Linked DNA regions of Rattus norvegicus. The protein of the gene in region 1 purifies or fractionates together with the protein of each later gene. This does not show direct contact. Links are inferred from orthologs where the notes say so. Each region holds a gene or a part of one and is shown in the gene's direction. Other genes may lie near its edges.

Evidence for each region. Proteins that work in one complex are often made in the same cells at the same time.
Region 2: the proteins of Skp1 (region 1) and Fbxo45 purify together in Homo sapiens (affinity purification with western blotting; 7 studies listed by BioGRID and IntAct, with this or other methods). This does not show direct contact. The link is inferred for Rattus norvegicus from reciprocal best matches to the Homo sapiens genes SKP1 and FBXO45.
Region 3: the proteins of Skp1 (region 1) and Ccna2 purify together in Homo sapiens (affinity purification with mass spectrometry; 4 studies listed by BioGRID and IntAct, with this or other methods). This does not show direct contact. The link is inferred for Rattus norvegicus from reciprocal best matches to the Homo sapiens genes SKP1 and CCNA2.

Annotation. Positions count from the first base shown.
Region 1 is NC_086028.1:36,900,425-36,906,245, forward strand, and holds the start of Skp1 (S-phase kinase-associated protein 1), read left to right. Parts: upstream 1-2,483; 5' UTR 2,484-2,566; intron 2,567-2,604; exon of another isoform or gene 2,605-3,045; coding exon of another isoform or gene 3,046-3,051; intron 3,052-5,821. UniProt on the Homo sapiens protein: Essential component of the SCF (SKP1-CUL1-F-box protein) ubiquitin ligase complex, which mediates the ubiquitination of proteins involved in cell cycle progression, signal transduction and transcription.
Region 2 is NC_086029.1:82,054,485-82,060,296, forward strand, and holds the start of Fbxo45 (F-box/SPRY domain-containing protein 1), read left to right. Parts: upstream 1-1,972; 5' UTR 1,973-2,006; coding exon 2,007-2,333; intron 2,334-5,319; exon of another isoform or gene 5,320-5,462; intron 5,463-5,812. UniProt on the Homo sapiens protein: Component of E3 ubiquitin ligase complex consisting of FBXO45, MYCBP2 and SKP1. Functions in substrate recognition but also plays an important role in assembly of the complex.
Region 3 is NC_086020.1:121,357,857-121,363,648, reverse strand, and holds the start of Ccna2 (cyclin-A2), read left to right. Parts: upstream 1-1,952; 5' UTR 1,953-2,053; coding exon 2,054-2,224; intron 2,225-2,873; coding exon 2,874-3,117; intron 3,118-4,037; coding exon of another isoform or gene 4,038-4,125; intron 4,126-5,122; coding exon 5,123-5,235; intron 5,236-5,417; coding exon 5,418-5,641; intron 5,642-5,792. UniProt on the Homo sapiens protein: Cyclin which controls both the G1/S and the G2/M transition phases of the cell cycle. Functions through the formation of specific serine/threonine protein kinase holoenzyme complexes with the cyclin-dependent protein kinases CDK1 or CDK2.

The DNA of each region.
Region 1 (5,821 bases):
CCTGGGTTCGGTTCCCAGCTCCGAAAAAAAAGAACAAAAAAAAAAAATCACCTTGGATGGTTTAAAGGGCAGAGAACCCTGGGTTTGGTCCCCAGCTCCAAAAAAAAAGAAAAAAAAGGCAGAAAAGCCTGCCCCACGTTAGATTCATTACACTGGAAACTGACCCAGCTGCCTTTCCTTGAGTGGGGCCAATTATAAGTGCATTATTCACTTAAACATTCTTTTTTGATTTAGGTTCTTACTCTATAGCCTCAGCTGATCCAAAATTATGTAGACCAGACTATTCTTGAACTCACTAAGTGCAGAGGATGGTCATGAACTTCTGAGTCTCCCGTTTTTGTCTCCTGAGGTTACAGACTTGTACAGTTTATGGGGGTGTTGGGAACCAAACCCATGGCCTCACACATGCAAGGCAGGCACACCACCAATTGAACCACATCCCCAGAACCAGAAAACAGACTTGCAAAAAAAAGTTGTAGTGCTGTGCCTAACTCACTTCAGGGAAAAAAATTACTATGTAAAACATGCCTATGAACCCATAGGCAAATGGCAGGAAAATATACAAATCACCCAACATTTGCCCCACCTGCTAGCTCCATTTCTTTGAGGCAAACAATTTCTTGTGCATCTTTTGTGAACTAATTTGTACCTTAAATAGTCTGGGCACCGCAAGGATTGAACCCAGGGTCCTGGGCATGCTAAGCTTTGTCCCAGCACTAAAACCTCCATTTTCTCCTCCAAGCATTGGTTAATTCCTGTACCGAGGCTTTCATCCCTCTGGAGAAACATACACCTATCTTGTGACAGGCAGTGTACTGGCTTCTTAGACTAGCTGTATGACCCAGGACTGTTTAAGGAGCCCACCAAGTTTATGCCATGTGAGAGGAAAAGGCTCTCCAAGTGGGCCTTTCCTGGCAGGCCCTAAGTAGGAGCTGCGAAGGGCAGGCAGTGCTGCAGATAAAGAGCCTGAGAACTGTGGGCCTTTCATCTTCTGTCATCAGCTGTGGCACCTGGCAGACATTGGATACCACAGCCATCAGACAAAGACCTGGTCATTCAAGCCATTGCTTGGCCTCTCTGCCCAGACTTGTCCTGGAGAAACTGTAGGCTCTGGTTTCTTTAGGAGGCCCTGTGTGGAAACGTCTTTTGTCTTTGTGGTGCCAGGAATACCATCATGTGCTCATTGGCTAGGTGAGCCTGGCGCCTTGGTGGGGATAGTGATGCTCCCTAGACACAGCGGGGCAGGGCAGGCAAGTGCCCAGTTCCTGGCTGGGCTGAGGCCAGATGGGTCCTTTCAGACCTCTCCCTTTACTTCAAAGTTGTTTCATTCTAGCGACCTTATCACAGCCTTCTGTGAGCTGCCCATACAGCATAGTCTGTTCAGGTTGGGCTGACTGTCCTGGTTCACTACTGGATGGATTCCCAGCGCGGGCCTCACAGGCCTCACACACAGGCAGAGAGCATGATTACCCGAAGAATATACCCTCCATTCCACATCCCTGTTTTCTCTCTCCAGGCTTGGCGCTTCACTCCAACAATGGCTATTTGGGGTGTGAAAGCCTCTTCAAAGTTCAAAGGTAGGAAATAAAGGTTAAGATTATCCAACAAGGTGGTGCCTGCCTCCCAGCGCTGAGCTATTGGAAACACAGATCTGAATTTAAAGCCAGCCTGGTCTAAATAGCGAGTTCCAAACCTGGTTTATCTAGTAAGACCCTGTTTCAAAACAAAACAAAACAAAACAAAAAGAGTATAAGGCGAGTATATGTGGTGAAAAAAAAAAGCCGGTAATCTCACGAGTTTTAGACCAACCTGGTCTACGCAATGAATTTGCAGTCACTCTGTGCCAAACGAGACCCCGTCTTAAAATGCAAAGAAAATAAAAACTAAGCAGGTGCACCAAGTCAGGAGTATTTAGAGACACCTTGACTCAACATCCGTAATTTTTTAAAGCTCAGTTATCAGTGGAGTAAGGTTCAAGTCCTTAATTCCAGGTCGGAAAAAAAAAAAAAAAACCAAACAAACCAAAAACCCTTATTTCCTTGGGTTATTAGGAGAGTAACAGTGGTCAGGCTGAGGTGACTCCTTTAAAGCACACCCACCCACAACCGGTTTTGCGGTTTGTTCTTTCCAGGCTTTTCAGGACTGGGGTCTTTCAAGCAGTTTAAGACAGCCTCTGCCTGAAAGACCCTTCGGGTCGCGATGGTTCCCCAGCCGGTGCCGGCGTCCGCACGGAAGGAGAGCACGGCGTTGTTCAGGACGGCGGAGTAAAGTGGAAGTCCCCCTCCTGCTCAGCCACCCTTCCACCCATCGCCGCTCAGCACCTCTCCAGGAGACCTCTGCGGCGCCCAGAACCTGCCACCCGCCTTCCGCATGCCGTCAGGCACTCTCAACGGCCAGCCCGGCCGGCTGTGTGACGTCACGAACTCGGGGTCCTCGGTGCCCTCTTCCCGCTCCTATAAAAGCTGACGCCGCGCGGCGCTGCTGTAGTGGCCTTGTTCTCGAGACTTCTATTCGGTTGTGAACTCTGTTCGGCAGCCTCAGGCCTGCGGTCTTGAGACCGAGCACGGTGAGTAGCAGCCCGCGAGCCGGACCAGGTCCTGGAGGGAGGGGCTGGGTGGGAGCCCCGGGTTGGCTGTGGCGTGCACGAGGCGGCGAGTCGGCCTGGCGTGTCCTGAGGCGCTGTGCGGCCCGTTGCCGACCCCGGACCGCGGGAGGCGCGAGGCGGCCGAGTCAGGCCTTCTAGGGCCGCCCATCCTTTCGGCGCTCGCTCGCTGCTGTATCCAGCTCTGTGGCAGGCCTGCTCTTTTGCGGGCGACGTCAGTCGGCCCCGAACGCGGCTGCAAGGCCTAGGCTTCGTCCCGGGCCTGCCTTAGCGACAGGCTTGTTGCTCCGCGCTCCAGGGCGGGTTGGCCGCAAGGCTTTGAGTAGGGGTCCCGGGCCTTCCGGGTGGTGGCGGTCGTTGCCACTCGATACTTAGCTCTCTCCCTTCCTCCTGTATCTGGCGACATTTGCTCCTTACTGGTCTTACCTATTTAACCACCGAATATGCAGGTAACAGGTTCCCGATATTTCTTCGCTTTTTTTTTTTTTTTTGTCACGTCCTGCAGTCTCTGAACTTATTGTAATAGACCTTGTCGTCTGAGGTGTGTGACTTTTAGGAGCCCTTGACGCTAAAACCCAAGGTGTTGGGTTTTTAAGGGATAGTGTTAAAACATGCCTCTTGGCTCACTTTTTCATGGAGTCCTCAGGTTTGGAGACTCAGTTTTTCATCAGAATGTTACAGTAGACTGTGTTGTGGCAAAGAACAATGCACTCCCTTCTGCCCTGCAGTCCAGTAACAAGTGGCAGAATTTCGAGTCACTTAAAACAGGTTTGTTTTTAAAGTCTGTTTTAAGTGTACTAGAATTCTCATGCTAGACTTGGATGGTGGTTTAGTTTCCAAGTCCAGGAGCTTAGAGAACTAAAGAAGGGTTTTTTGAAAGCATATCAAATCGAAATCTCATACATTATTACTTAAAAATTTTGCACTTAATTCCACCACAACAAAAGTGAAGTCTAGGATTACAGAGTGCATTGAATTACAGATTAACTGATTGCCTCCCTGGCTCTCTTGCAAGTAACCTGATACCTAAATTTGACTATGACTAAGCATGTCTTTATTGTGAATTATTTCAAGGAAATATGGAATTGTCTTTTAAAATAACTTTATTAGCCACATAGACTTGTTCCTGAGTGATCATTACAGTGCTGGGGACCATAAAGAGAACATAGTGTTTTGCTATTAAAAGCTGGTCTCTTTAACTTTTATTGTTGCCTTATAAGGAGGGTCTGCTGCTCTGGGCTTCTCTGTTCTGCAGCATATTTGTGAGTTGAAAAGTGAACTCTTGAGTCTTTTCAACCATGGATGATTGTGAAACAAGCTTTATCCCCCCCCCCCCCCCAATTATTGTTTACTTGAGGAATGGGGACAAGTGTCTCAGAAAGCTGAATGAATATTTTAGGAGATACGCCGAGTCTTAAGTGTTTGACCCTTAAATAGGTACAATAGTTATTTTAAGTGCTAACCCTATAACACCCAGGTATTCCTCAGAAGCATAAGACCTGCAGAGTTACATGTGAGTTGGGGATTTTGGTGCCCACCTTTTTTTTTTCTTTTTTCTTTTTTCTTTTTTTCGGAGCTGGGGACCGAACCCAGGGCCTTGCACTCGATAGGCAAGCGCTCTACCGCTGAGCTAAATCCCCAACCCCAGGTGCCCACCTTTAATCCCAGCACTGGAGGCAGAGGCAGGTTGATGGCTGAGTTCAAAACCAGTCCTTGCTACAGAGCAAGTTGCAGGACAGCTAGGGCAACACAGAGGAACCCTGTCTCAAAAACAAACTACTAAAAAAAGTTGCTTATGAAATTTTTTTTTTCTTTTTTTTTTTTGGAGCTGGGGACCGAACCCAGGGCCTTGCGGTTGCTAGGCAAGCGCTCTACCACTGAGCTAAATCCCCAACCCCATGAAATTTTAAAGAGGTCTTGAATTACTCTTTTGGAGTAATGAGGGGGAAATCTGAAGATGATAAATTGCTGGTTTAGAGCTTTTAGTATTAATACTGGTTTGCTTTTGTTTGGTTTTGGTTTTTCCTAAAACTCAAGTCATGTTAGGAGCTAGTTGCTTAATTTTTTTAATATATGAAATTATATTTTTCCTAATGACTTATATTTTATCTCAGTTGATGCATTTTTGGATGGGGGGGTTGTTGAGATCAGTTTTTGAGACAGGGGCAAGAAAACTAGGCTAGCCTTAAATTTATTTTGTATGTATCAAGAAGATGGCCATGAACTCCTAATGCTTCTGTTTGCCAAAATGCTGGGATTGTGGAAATACTTATACTCTGTCTCACCTTTTGGGCAGAGGGAGAGGGCAATATTGCAGATTGAACTAGAGCTTTATACATGTTAGGCATTACACTCAGGAGCTGTATCCCCAGCCTCTTTTATATTTCATTTTAAGCAGGCTCTTAATGAGTTCCACCAAGGCTGGCTTGACCTCATTATGTAACCTAGTCAGTCCTTGAAATTATGATCCTCATCTTTCCAAAAACTGGACTTCACAGGACTGGTTCCTCTGTATATCCCTGACAGTTCTGGAACTCACTGTGTACACTGGCCTTGAACTCACAAAGATGCACCTGTACCTTGACTCCCACGTGCTGGAATTAAAGGCATACAGTATTACCATGCTATTTTAAATTTATATTTGTTTGAGACAGATTCTTATGTAACCCAGACTGGACTTGAACTTGGCTGTGTGCCCAATGTCTGAATTCCTGCATCTCAAGTACTGGGTTTATAGTACCTGCCACTATGACTTAAATGTATTTTGTTGTTTTGTTTGCTTTTTTGAGACAAGGTCTTTAGGTGTAGTCCTGGCTGCCCTATTTATTACATGTAAGTACATTGTAGCTGTCTTCAGACACACCAGAAAGAGAGCATCAGATCTCATTACAGATGGTTGTGAGCCACCGTGTGGTGGCTGGGATTTGAACTCAGGACCTCTGGAAGAGCAGTCAGTGCTCTTTTAACCACTCAGCCATCTCTCCAGCTTTGTTTGTTTGTTTTGAGTTTCTCTGTGCAGCTTTTGGCTCCCCTGGGACTTTCTCTGTAGACCAGGCTGGTCTTGAACTCTAGATCCGCCTCTGTCTCCCAAGTGCCCAGATTAAAAGGCATGCTTCGCCACTGCCTGGCTGAAGCAGGTCTTTTTTTTTAATTTGGTAGGTACTTAGCCAGACGATTTCAAACTTGGACATCTGAACAATAGGTAATAAAAAAATTTAA
Region 2 (5,812 bases), on another chromosome or scaffold:
TACCATTGGATACTTCAAAGATTCGTCTTAAGACAAGATAAAGTATTTGATAAGTGGATGATCTCTGCCATCAGTGTTTTTTCAGTCATACCTTTATTTATGAATTTCCACTATCCATTTGTACAAGCCTGAAATAGATAGATAGATGACAGAGAGAAATAAAGAAAGAGAGAGAGAGGGAGGGAGGGAGAGAGAGAGAGAGAGAGAGAGAGAGAGAGAGAGAAAGAGAGAGAGAAAGAAAGACCGTCTGAATCTGTCTCACCTAGGGTCCCCAAGTAACTAGAGTCTATACTCTCAGTACTATGGTGCTTTGCCCATGCCTTTCAATCTAACCATTCTATGTATGTAGTTCTTTACTTTCTTTTCAGATCCACAAAATTTAAAGGAAAAGCAATTGTCATTCAGACAAAATTTGGTTCAACATTCAGGAGCCATGAAGAGAGAGGCCATTACTATAATGTGTGGGTCAACATTTCTTCATAGATTTGGACTAAAGTTAGTCCTGATGTGGAGAAACTAAGTGACAACCAAAACAACTCAAAGACTGTGACATTAGCCTAGACACAATAGACAAAAATTTGGGTTACTTGGTGGAAGACACCTTGAGGAAGGGATTAGCAAGGCATAAGCATGTAATTATACCCCAGTAGGGAAGCAGTTGTTGTTCATTTGTTTTTACTAAAAATCAGGAAGTGGATTGCACATAGGTGGATCTCAGGCAAGGTTTCTTGCTACAAAAAATTGCACAATACTGGACTTGACTACTGAGCCTGTGGGCCCTATTACAATAATCACTTCATAGTCTTGAGAATTATAAAAGTCAGATTAAAAGATCTCATCAATGCCTGGCTCACACTGTAGTTCTTTTGTTTTATGTGTATGGCGTGTGTATGCGTACACCTCGGTCATTCGTGAAGCTGGAAGGCTTGGCTCCCCTTGAACTGAAGTTCAAATAATGCTAGGTTCTTTTCCTCCCACTGTTGGGATTACAAATTACAAAACAAAAAACAAAAAACTACACATATTTCCTTAATCTTTTTACTATGAGATGAACCGAATTCACTATATTTTGTCCAAAAGACTGTGACACTTGGTATTCAAATGACCCTTTGAAATTACCCAAACTTGTTTAATATCAAATATAATAAAAACCTGCGTATTTACGACGGTTGCTCAGATTTAGCCACCTTACTTTTAGAATGGATACTGTATAGATGTTCTGTTGAGTCCCCTACTGTCCTAGCCAGGAAAAGACGATGTCAATTTCTCAAGGTAAAAAATAAAGTAAAATGGATCTAACCTGACCACGACAAGAGGTCTCCAACTGCCCAAAGGTAAAGTTAATGGATCCAAGCGAACTGAAGATGAAGGATCTAAGAACTGGCTAGCAAACTTTGTCGTAAACAAAGTTGGAGAATGAGCAGAAAGCAAATGAAACGGGAAACTCCGTAGGAAGAGAGGCCAAGGAAAGCCGACTCAAGGCCATTAGAGGAAAAACAGAAAAACGCACTTGAGAACAGATCAGAATCCCACTAGCCAACAGCCTCATACCTGGGCTTCCAGTTCCCGGTGGCGCGTAGTGATGACCTCAGGCGCAGCATCCAATCCCATCAAGCTTAGGGAGCGAGGCGCCTCCACCGAACAGTCACTTCCGGGCTGAGAGGCGCGGCGGCCGAGCTGGGCGTGCGCCCTTGCTTCTTGCCCTCAACCCGCATGGCGGATCCCGGGGCGCGTCGCGGGCAGGCAGGGCGAGGCGGGTGGTTCCGGCGCCCGCGCTGAGCGGCTACGAGGGGCGGGGACCCGAGTGGCCCGCGCCATCTGCCCTCAGTGAGGCGGGGCGCGCAGCGGACGCCCCCGGGCAGGGGCGGGAGCGGTGGAGGCGCGAGCGGCTGTCGCTGAAAGGGGCGGTGAGCGAGCTGCTCCGGTCTCTAGGCGAGGCTTGGCCTCCCGCGCCGAGACGGGGCGCAGCGACGGCAGCGGCGGCCCTCGGGCCGGCTGGTGAGGCGATGGCGGCGCCGGGCCCGGGGGCTGGGGCAGCCTCGGGCGGCGCTAGCGGCGGCGCCGGCGCCAGCGGCGGCGCCGGCGCCAGCGCCGGCGCGGGATCCGCGTCCTCCGGGATCGGCGGCCGGTTGCCCAGCCGGGTGCTGGAGTTGGTGTTCTCCTACCTGGAGCTGTCCGAGCTGCGGAGCTGCGCCCTGGTGTGCAAGCACTGGTACCGCTGCCTCCACGGCGATGAGAACAGCGAGGTGTGGCGGAGCCTGTGCGCCCGCAGCCTAGCAGAAGAGGCTCTGCGCACGGACATCCTCTGCAACCTGCCCAGCTACAAGGCCAAGGTGAGGGAATCCCGGGCCATGTCGAAGCCCAGTTCCTCTCCTGCCCGGTGTTCTTGGGGTTTACCTTGAAAGCTTGAGTTAGAGGTTTCATCTCACCATCCCGTCTTTCTACGGCTTAAGCCAGTCAGTACCACCCCTCCTTTCCATAACGATCTTTTCTTTGGATTGAAGTTGTGCTTCGTAATCCACCTCACTTTTAAAAATACTAGGTGGTTTCCCATCATTCATTTTCCTCAGCTCTACTTTCAACAGTTTTTGCTCTTAAAGACCAGCCGATACCCTTGATCATATATTTTCCCTGGCCTCCAAGTAGAATGGCACTAATGCATTCGAGGTCGCTTTAAAATGGGTTTAGTTGCTGGGGCTTTTGCGTTCACCATCCCCTTTCTTGGCTCTGATTAATAAGCACGTTTTCATTATTTTCACCCATGTTCTCTTAGGGCCACAATATTTAACGCTTCCAAGTGATGATCAGGGTAGGCATCCTGCTAACTAACTTGTAAGAAAGAGACTTTAATATTACTTCCTCTCATTGGTGCGGTATAACTCATCAAACTGCCTTGTCCTGCTGTTATTGATAACTTTTCTTAGTTCTACTGGGGTGATGTCTCTTTTGTCATGTAATATGTTTATTCCTGTTTTGCTGGGCTTTTGTTGTTGTCGTTCTTGATTCTTGTGCTTTCATAACAAAATTAAAATGCTAACAAACAGGTCGTGGCAGGACCAAGTATTCTCCAGCATACAAACAAAAGGCCTTGGACTAAGGTTCATGTAGGTAGATAGTAGCTCTTCAGGATAGCAGTCATCAAAAGCATATGAAGCTGGATGTGGTGGCGCACACCTTTAATCCCAGCACTCCAGAGGCAGAGGCAGAGGCAGGTGCACCTCTGTGAGTTAGGGCCAGCTTGGTCTGCCAAGTGAGTTCCAGGACAGCCAGGGCTACATAAAATGAGAGACTGTCCAAAACAAGGAGCATATACGAGAGATGATAGACGTCTGACCAGGAATGTAGTAAATATATCTTTTCTTTTTTAATTCTATATTGCCAGTGAGTGTCTAAGTAATTTTTAATGTGAAATAGGTGCACTCTTTCTTTTAATATACATGTATTATTATAAATATGTGTATACACATATTTTATGTCTGTTTTTGGAGACAGGGTCTCACTGTGTGTCCGGGTGGTCTCCAACTTGCCATCTTTCTGTCTGTTCCTTGAGAGTGCTGGGATTATAGGATGGGCCACAGTACTGATATATTCTTATATATTAAGACGAGTTTTCGTCTGATGAGAGAAGGAACACTGCTGTCAATTATGTCAACTACCAAATAAATTGTCTGTCTGTCTGTCTGTCTTTCTTTTTTTCTTTCTTCCTTTCTTTCTTTTTTTCTTTCTTTATTTATCTGAGACAGGATTTCAGTATTCAGCCTCGGCTGGCTTGGAAGTTAACAGAAATCCACCTGCCTCTTGTCTTCAAAGTTCTGAGTCTAAAAGTGCCACCACTCCTGCCACCGTCCCCATCATATTTTTGTACTTATTTTTTCTTTGACACAAGTACACATACTCATGCATATGTGAAGAATACCAGTGCCCACAGAATCTAGAATGTCTACTGCTGTAGCTGGAGTTACAGACATGTGACCTCCCTCTGCAACACACACACACACACAGGAAAATCAGGGGGCACTCTTTTTTTTAATTTTAAAAGATTTTATTTATTTTATGTATGTGCTCTCTAAATAAATAAAAAGGTTTTATTAATTTAGTATGTGCACACTAGAAGTGTGCATCAGATCTCATTACAGATGGTTGTGAACCACCATGTGGTTGCTGGGAATTGAACTCAGAACCTTTGGAAGAGCAGTCAGTGCTCTTAACCACTGAGCCATCTCTTCAGTCCCCGGGGCACTCTTAACTGCAGACTAAATTGATACTGATTTTGGTTTTTCCGGAGAGATTATAGTTTTAAGTTTCTAATCTTCATTATCTTTCTGCTGCGTGCACTGCGGCTCCAAGGTGGGCTTGTCTTACCCAGGTTCTTGTAGGTGACAATTGTGAAAATGCAGTGTTAATTCAGGAGGACTCAGTGTAGAAGTCCTTAGACAGGGAAATAACTAACATGTGGCACACATTGCTACCTAGTGTAGTATAGGAATACTAGCAGTCCGTGGGGAGGAAGAACTTAGGAGCTGAGTGGAGAAAAAGTTTGAGATTAAGATGCCACAAAGCTGAACTTTAAGATGAGGTTTATGATGTTAAATTTTATGAAAAACTCTGAGCAGAAAAACAAGGAAAGCAAAAATGCAAACTCTTACCCACACTTTGCCTTGTGGGGATTACAGTGTAGTAGAGTGCGTGTGCGTGTTCATGTGCCTGCGCCTGCCTACAAGCCTTCCTGCCTTCCTGCCTGCCTCCCTGCCTGCGTTTCTTTTTTCAGTACTGGGGATTGAATATGTGCTAGCTGCATCCCCCAGCCTGGGGGAATAGCTATTAATCTGATCACTGCCGTTGTGAAACTGCATCTGGTAAGTATTATGAGTGAGAGTCACATCTGTTCTGAGTGTCAGTAATGGAGGATTTAACTAGGTACGGAGGTCAGGAAGAGACTTTCTTATAAGACATGATGCACAAGCTTAGTGACACCTAAAAGATAAGTATAGAGGCCAAGAGGAGCAAGAAGAGCCTCTGAGGAGGGACTCTGCTTGTATGAGAAACAAGGTGACTGCCAGTGGTTGCTCTGAGAGTGCAGGTGACGCTGGTTTGAGTAAGATAAAAGGAGTGGGACACACTACACTGAAGCCTTTCTAGTTGTAAGCAAGAACAATGGCCGTGGGGAGTGGTGCCATGATCAGTTTGTGGGTTAGTTTTGACTCCACTATGGAGAACAGGTTGGAATACGATTTTAGAAATGTGGTAGATCCACTAGAAAGAGGGTAGTGAAGGAGATGGGGGAAAATGGACAAACTTAGGAAATAGAGTAACAGAATTTGATGACTGTTCCTCCTATTGCCTTTAGATGTGGCACTAGGATTTTAGGTCATCATAAATTAAAATTGATTTTTTTCACTCAGAGAATATTAAGATACTGGGATTATCTATGTACTCTCTGAAATTTGCGGGATCAAACAGTTTTGTTTTTTTTGTTGTTGTTTTTTTAAAGAATCTGTAGAATGTGGCAGTAGTTTTGAAATAAAGACGAGGAAGAAGGAAGAGCTAAGGATGACTCCTAGATATTTGGCTTATATAATCTAAGTATCACTTGAGCAAGAGTTTGGAGGAAAATGACAGCAAGTTCAGTTGTGGAAGGTCAGAATTCATAGTGTCTTTGAGATATTCGTCAGATTTCAGATAGGCAGCTCCTGATAGCCAAGGGTTAGAAGCAGTCTAGGCTAAAGATAGGAATTTCTAGTTGGACTGAATGAAGGGAAATACTGCTGTAAAGGTGACTGGGGACTGGCTGTATCGTGGAAGAGGGCCTTTG
Region 3 (5,792 bases), on another chromosome or scaffold:
TGAGAGGGGACCAAGCCAGCCTTGGCTACAGCAGAAGACCCCATCCTAAAAGTCTAAACAAACCAACATAAGGAGAATGATTATAAGAGTTATTTATGACATTTTGGCAACTGGTATTTTAATTTCTAAGTTGAAAATTGGAAATATATATTTATTCATGTTTCCTAACATATTTTACCTTTATATTTACATTACTTGATCTTCCTGACTGTTCTGCAAATTCTTCAACCACTTAAGTGAAGCATATGTGACTAAGAGACCATGCTAGTATTTTATGAGGTTGGGGCTCTGTGTTATCAGAAAGTAGAAATAACCTACCAAGTTTTTCCTAGGATTTGGAAGGATTCCCATTTTCTCTTCCTTGGTGACATGATCCTCCTGAAATCTGAAATACTTGGCTTAGTGCTGTAGACTGTGGCCAGCAAAGTAAGCAGAGCCTGATCAGACCTGAGGGACCTCAGATGGATGTCTTTCCTGTGTGTAACCAGAAGAGTGATGGCTTCAAAGATTCCCCCCTACTAGTATCCACAAAACTCCTTCTTATTGTACACGTGAGGGAAAAAAGAAGACTTAAAAGCAACAGAAGTTTTAGTCATTCATTTCAGGGGAATATTGCATTGAAAGTTTTAAAATACTAAAAAAATAAGAGAAAATAAGCTGTCTTTTGTTTTCAAAGGGTAAATATGAATTTTTCAGAAAACAATAATTACATTTTATTATATTTTATGTGCAATTCTTAAATATTAAATACGAACATTTAAGGCACGTATAGTTGGGTCTTTATTTTAGTAAGGTTTTGTATTTCTCTCCCTCCCTCTCTCTCCCTCCTTCCCTCCGTGTGTGTGTGTGGGGGGGGTGGGGGTGGTTTGGTTTGGTTTGGTTTGGTTTGGTTTGGTTTGATTTTCAAGACAGGATTTCTTTGTGTAGCTGACCCGGAACTAGCTCTGCCCTCCAGGCTGGCCTTGAACTCACAAGAGATCCACCCGCCTGGTGAGTTGCCTGCATTAAAGGTTTAGCCACCGCCTCCTGGCTGCCCCGTTTTCTTATGCACACTTTTTCTACTCTTGAGACATCGTCTCACTAAATAGCTGACTTGGAACTAACTTGAACTCATGCAGTTCATTTTAAATGTAATATCTATTTGGGTCACTGGAACTTCATGGTGTACTATTTGATGTCACAACCAAGGATTAACAAAATAAATGGACATCTGAATTTCTTGTAATACACCACTTGGTACCAACAATAGCTCAAGTTGGCATTTTAAATTGACCCATCTTTATTAGAGGCGAGGAAAAGTTTACTGGAATACCAGGCATAGTGACACATGCCTTTAGTCCTAGAACAGAACTCATGAGACCGAGGCGGGTGGATTGTCAGTGAATCGCAGGACAACTGGGAGACCCTGCCTCAAAAACAACAAACAAAAAATATATACAGGAGAGGCGAAGCAGTAGTAAACAGTAAAAATATCAGTTTCCCTGTGTTGAATGGGCAGCACCACCGAGAGAGAGGAGCAGCTAGTCAGCTGGTAAGGGAGCGGCTAGTCAGCTGAGTCCATACAGTCCTGCCTAGGCGCCACCCAGCGACCAGGGGAAGTCGCTACACCCCTTAGCTGACAGGAATGCTGACACTCCGAGGCCCCGAGGGCTAGTCTGGTCCGCCCAGCTGCTCTGGTAGGATCCTGGGAGGTTACAGACCCACAGAGGATCGGAGAGTTGCGGAAGGCTGCCGCTTGCCCCGCCCTTCTCTGCGCAGGCGCGTCCCTCAGGCGCCCGCCCTGCCAGATTCCCGTCGGGCCTTTGCTCGCGGCGACCGGCGCTCCTGGTGACGTCACTGGCCCCGACCGCCCTCATTGGTCCATTTCAATAGTCGCGGGCTACTTGAACTACAAGAACAGCCGGCGGGCCGCGCGCGGCTCGCGGCACTTGGGCTCTGCGCTCCTCCCTCCCGCAGCGCCTGCTCCGTGCGTCGGCCGCCAGGGTCCCGCGCAGCCCGGGAGCGGCGGGCGCCTTGCACGCTCTGCCGCCGACGGATCCGGACCGGAGCCGCAATGCCGGGCAACTCGAGACAGGCGGGCTCGGCCCTGCTCTCCCAGCAGGAAGACCAGGAGAATGTCAACCCCGAAAAAGTGGCGCCAGCCCAGCAGCCGCGGGCGCAGGCGGTGCTGAAGGCCGGGAAGGTGCGGGGACCGGCGCCGCAGCAGAGGCTCAAGACTCGGCGGGTAAAAGGGCGCGGGGGTCTGTCGGAGGGCCGGGCGGAAGCGGTCTTGGGTTTACCAGCCCAGAGGGCCAAAAAGCATGCTGAGCTTTCTAGGGGTAGTCGGGCTGCAGCCTTTGCGGTCCGGGCGTTTTTAGTACCAAATAGCCCCACGAGCCCTGCGGACCCGTGTATACTGCCCTTCAGCACTAGTGGAGCGGTCTTCCTAAAAATTCTAGGGTCATACCAAGCAGTGCCCCGCGTGTCGACTTCGGCCATGTACCTTTCCCTCCACTTTTAAAGCCAGGCATTGCAGTAGGATATAGATCCCTTCCCCCTCACCATCTGCTTCACAGATTACTACTTAAGGGAAGGACATAAAGCAAGTATTCTGCTTGGTAAATTCCGCCATTTTAGCCAGACTTGCTGTTTTGCTCCACCCTGAGGCTAAAGTTGTGAATCAGTTCTTTCCCCTAACTTTAGTCTTTGATTAGTTTGGAATTCCAATCCGTTGCATTTATAGCCTTTGTAGAAATGGCTGTGACAAATCGGTTTACTCACCTTACCTGGACTTTGACTCATGAACTTACATTTTTCTTAAGAGTATTTGGAAATAAAAGTTGGTACCCACAGGGCAAGAAGCAAAGTATTAAAAAAGAATTCCTTCTCTTTAGGTTGCGCCTCTTAAGGACCTTCCTATAAACGATGAGCACGTCCCTACTGTTCCTTCATGGAAAGCAGTCAGTAAACAGCCTGCCTTCACCATTCATGTGGATGAAGCTGAAGAGACTCAGAAGAGGCCAGCTGAGCAAAAAGAAACTCAGTGTGAAGATGCCCTGGCTTTTAGTGCCGCTGTCTCTTTACCCGGAGCCAGAAAACCACTGGTACCTCTTGATTATCCAATGGATGGTAGTTTTGGTAAGGTTACTCTTTATTTTTACCAGTCCCTGTTTCTTCTTTCCTTCCCTCCTTGCTGTCTTTTTTTCCCCCTCTGAGTTTCTCGAGTATTCTTGACTGTCCTGAAACTCATACTCTATAAGACTAGGCTGGCCTTGAAATAAGAGATCCACCTACCTCTGCCTCCTGATTGCTGGGATTAAAGGCATGTGCTACCACACCAAACCTTTACCTTTTGAGACAGGATCTCAATCTGTAGCTCAGACTAACCTTGAACTCAAACCGTCCTGCCTCAGCCTCTCAAATTCTAGATTACAGGCCTGGCACCATCCGTACCTTGCTTGGCATACTCTAAAGATTGTTATTAAGCTAAAAAATTAGTTACTTAATTGGGTTAGTGATATTTTTGAGGTTTTTTTTAATTTTGCAAATTTCAGGTTTATTTACATTCAGTTTACGAATCAAAATGTCGTTTCAAATATATTTAAAATACGTAGCATTTTTAAAATTTTCACTCCAAATGTGTTCATCATAGCCATGACTAACGGATTTTACCACTGTACTTTAGCACTGATCGACTGCAGTCACCAAAAGTCCTGCGGTTGATATTTTTGAGTTTTAAGACTATGCTTACCTGCTCATAACACAGTGAGTTAAGATTACTACAGTGGGCTTAGAAAGGATCACAGATCCACTGACCTATAAAAGGACTCAAATCCTTAACCAGCAGGGAGGGCACTGCTGGACAAAGCTACATCAATTTTAATTAGATCTTAAATGCCTATCTTAATATGACTTTATAAGTGTTTGGCTGAGATAATAGATTTCAGTTTTATGTATGATTCACTTCTTAACATGCCAGTCCTAAGAGTGCTCCTTGAGCCTACAGTTTTAAGCATTATATCTGCCATTCCTTTAAAACTAATTTAAATGTTTGTCAGATTGCAGGTCAGACACATGGAAGGCAGAATAGCTGCTATAGACAGCTCTGCCGGTGCTATGATCTCACTGTGGAGACCAGAGATGTTGGTATCTGTCACTTTCTACCTTATGCTATATGTGTGCCAGGGGAAGGAGTATTACGCTTGCCTGTGCTGGTACATGTAGAGGCTAGAGAGAGTACTTGACTTTGGGGTATCTTCAATCACTTTTCTATATCATTTCTTAATCAAAGGTCTCATTGGGGCTCACTGATTTGGCTAGACAGCCTGGCCATCAAACTGCAGGGAACTGAGTATTTCAACCCTTTTTCTTCTTCCCGTCTAGGGTTGCAGACAATGCCACAACATCTAGCTTGAGTGGTGCTGGGAATGCAATGCACATCTTCATGCTTATCCAGCAGGCACTGCACTGCCATTTCCCAGCCCCCCAGTTCACTTAGTTCTACTGATGGGGTAGGAGGAGGGTATGGAAACTATTATTACACAGATTCCCCTATCTCAAGATAATTTAAATGGTAAAAACTAGAGCTGAGTATATTAATGCCCAATAGCACTCAGGAGGCTAAGGCAAGATTGTCAGCCTAGGTTACGGAGTGAATTTCAGGCCAGTCTGGCCCACAGAATGAGACCCTGTTTAACAAACACCAAGTCCCTTACAGATTATAGTTAGTCTGTTTGAACATGGTATGACAGACTTGATATCTTTACTAACATTTGGTAATATATGCCATTTACCCAATTCTAGTTACTCCCTCATTGTGATCTGACTATGTCAACCTGTAGGTTCTGCGATCTCAAAACATACATAATATATATTTATTTATTTATTTTAAAATTTGATGTTAAGTACTTGTCCTAACAGAACCATTGTATTATCTACTCATCTCTTGAGGAAGATGACACGTTAAGGTAATTCTCAGTCCTCTTAGTAGCCTACTGATGTATACTTCTTTTTTGGGATTAAGGTTATCCTAGAGCTATGAGGACAGTAGCCCTAAAACCAGAATAAGATATTCAGTGTTGCTTTGCCATTAGGGTGTTTTTATCGAAAGAGATAAATACTTTGACTTTAATGTCATACACAGAATCACCCCATGCTATGGATATATCTATTGTCTTAGAAGACGAAAAGCCAGTGAATGTTAATGAAGTACCTGACTATCATGAAGATATTCACACGTACCTTAGGGAAATGGAGGTAAGGCTCTGTTCATCAAAAATGGCTAAGTGAAGCAGAGAGGCTAACGATGGACACCTGCTAACTGCTAGCAAGTTACTCCAACGCTAAACTTAACGGCTACAGTGTATGTTAATTGTGTCTTTGTGAATGGTGAAGTAACTAATCATAGTTTTAATTAACCCTACTGAGTTTTTCTTCAGGTTAAATGTAAACCTAAAGTGAGTTATATGAAGAGGCAGCCAGACATCACTAACAGTATGCGGGCCATCCTTGTGGACTGGCTAGTTGAAGTGGGAGAAGAATATAAACTACAGAATGAGACCCTGCATTTGGCTGTGAACTACATTGATAGATTCCTCTCCTCCATGTCTGTGTTAAGAGGAAAGCTTCAGCTTGTGGGCACAGCTGCTATGCTGCTAGCTTCGTAAGTCTAGCTAATTTGGTTCAAAATCATCACTCACCACTCCTTCCCCCCATTTATATTCCATTTATATTTTATTGGGTGTTTTGCCTTTGTGCATCGTGCGTATCTGTAGCACATGTGTGGTGCCTGCTGAGGCCAAAAGAGGGCATTG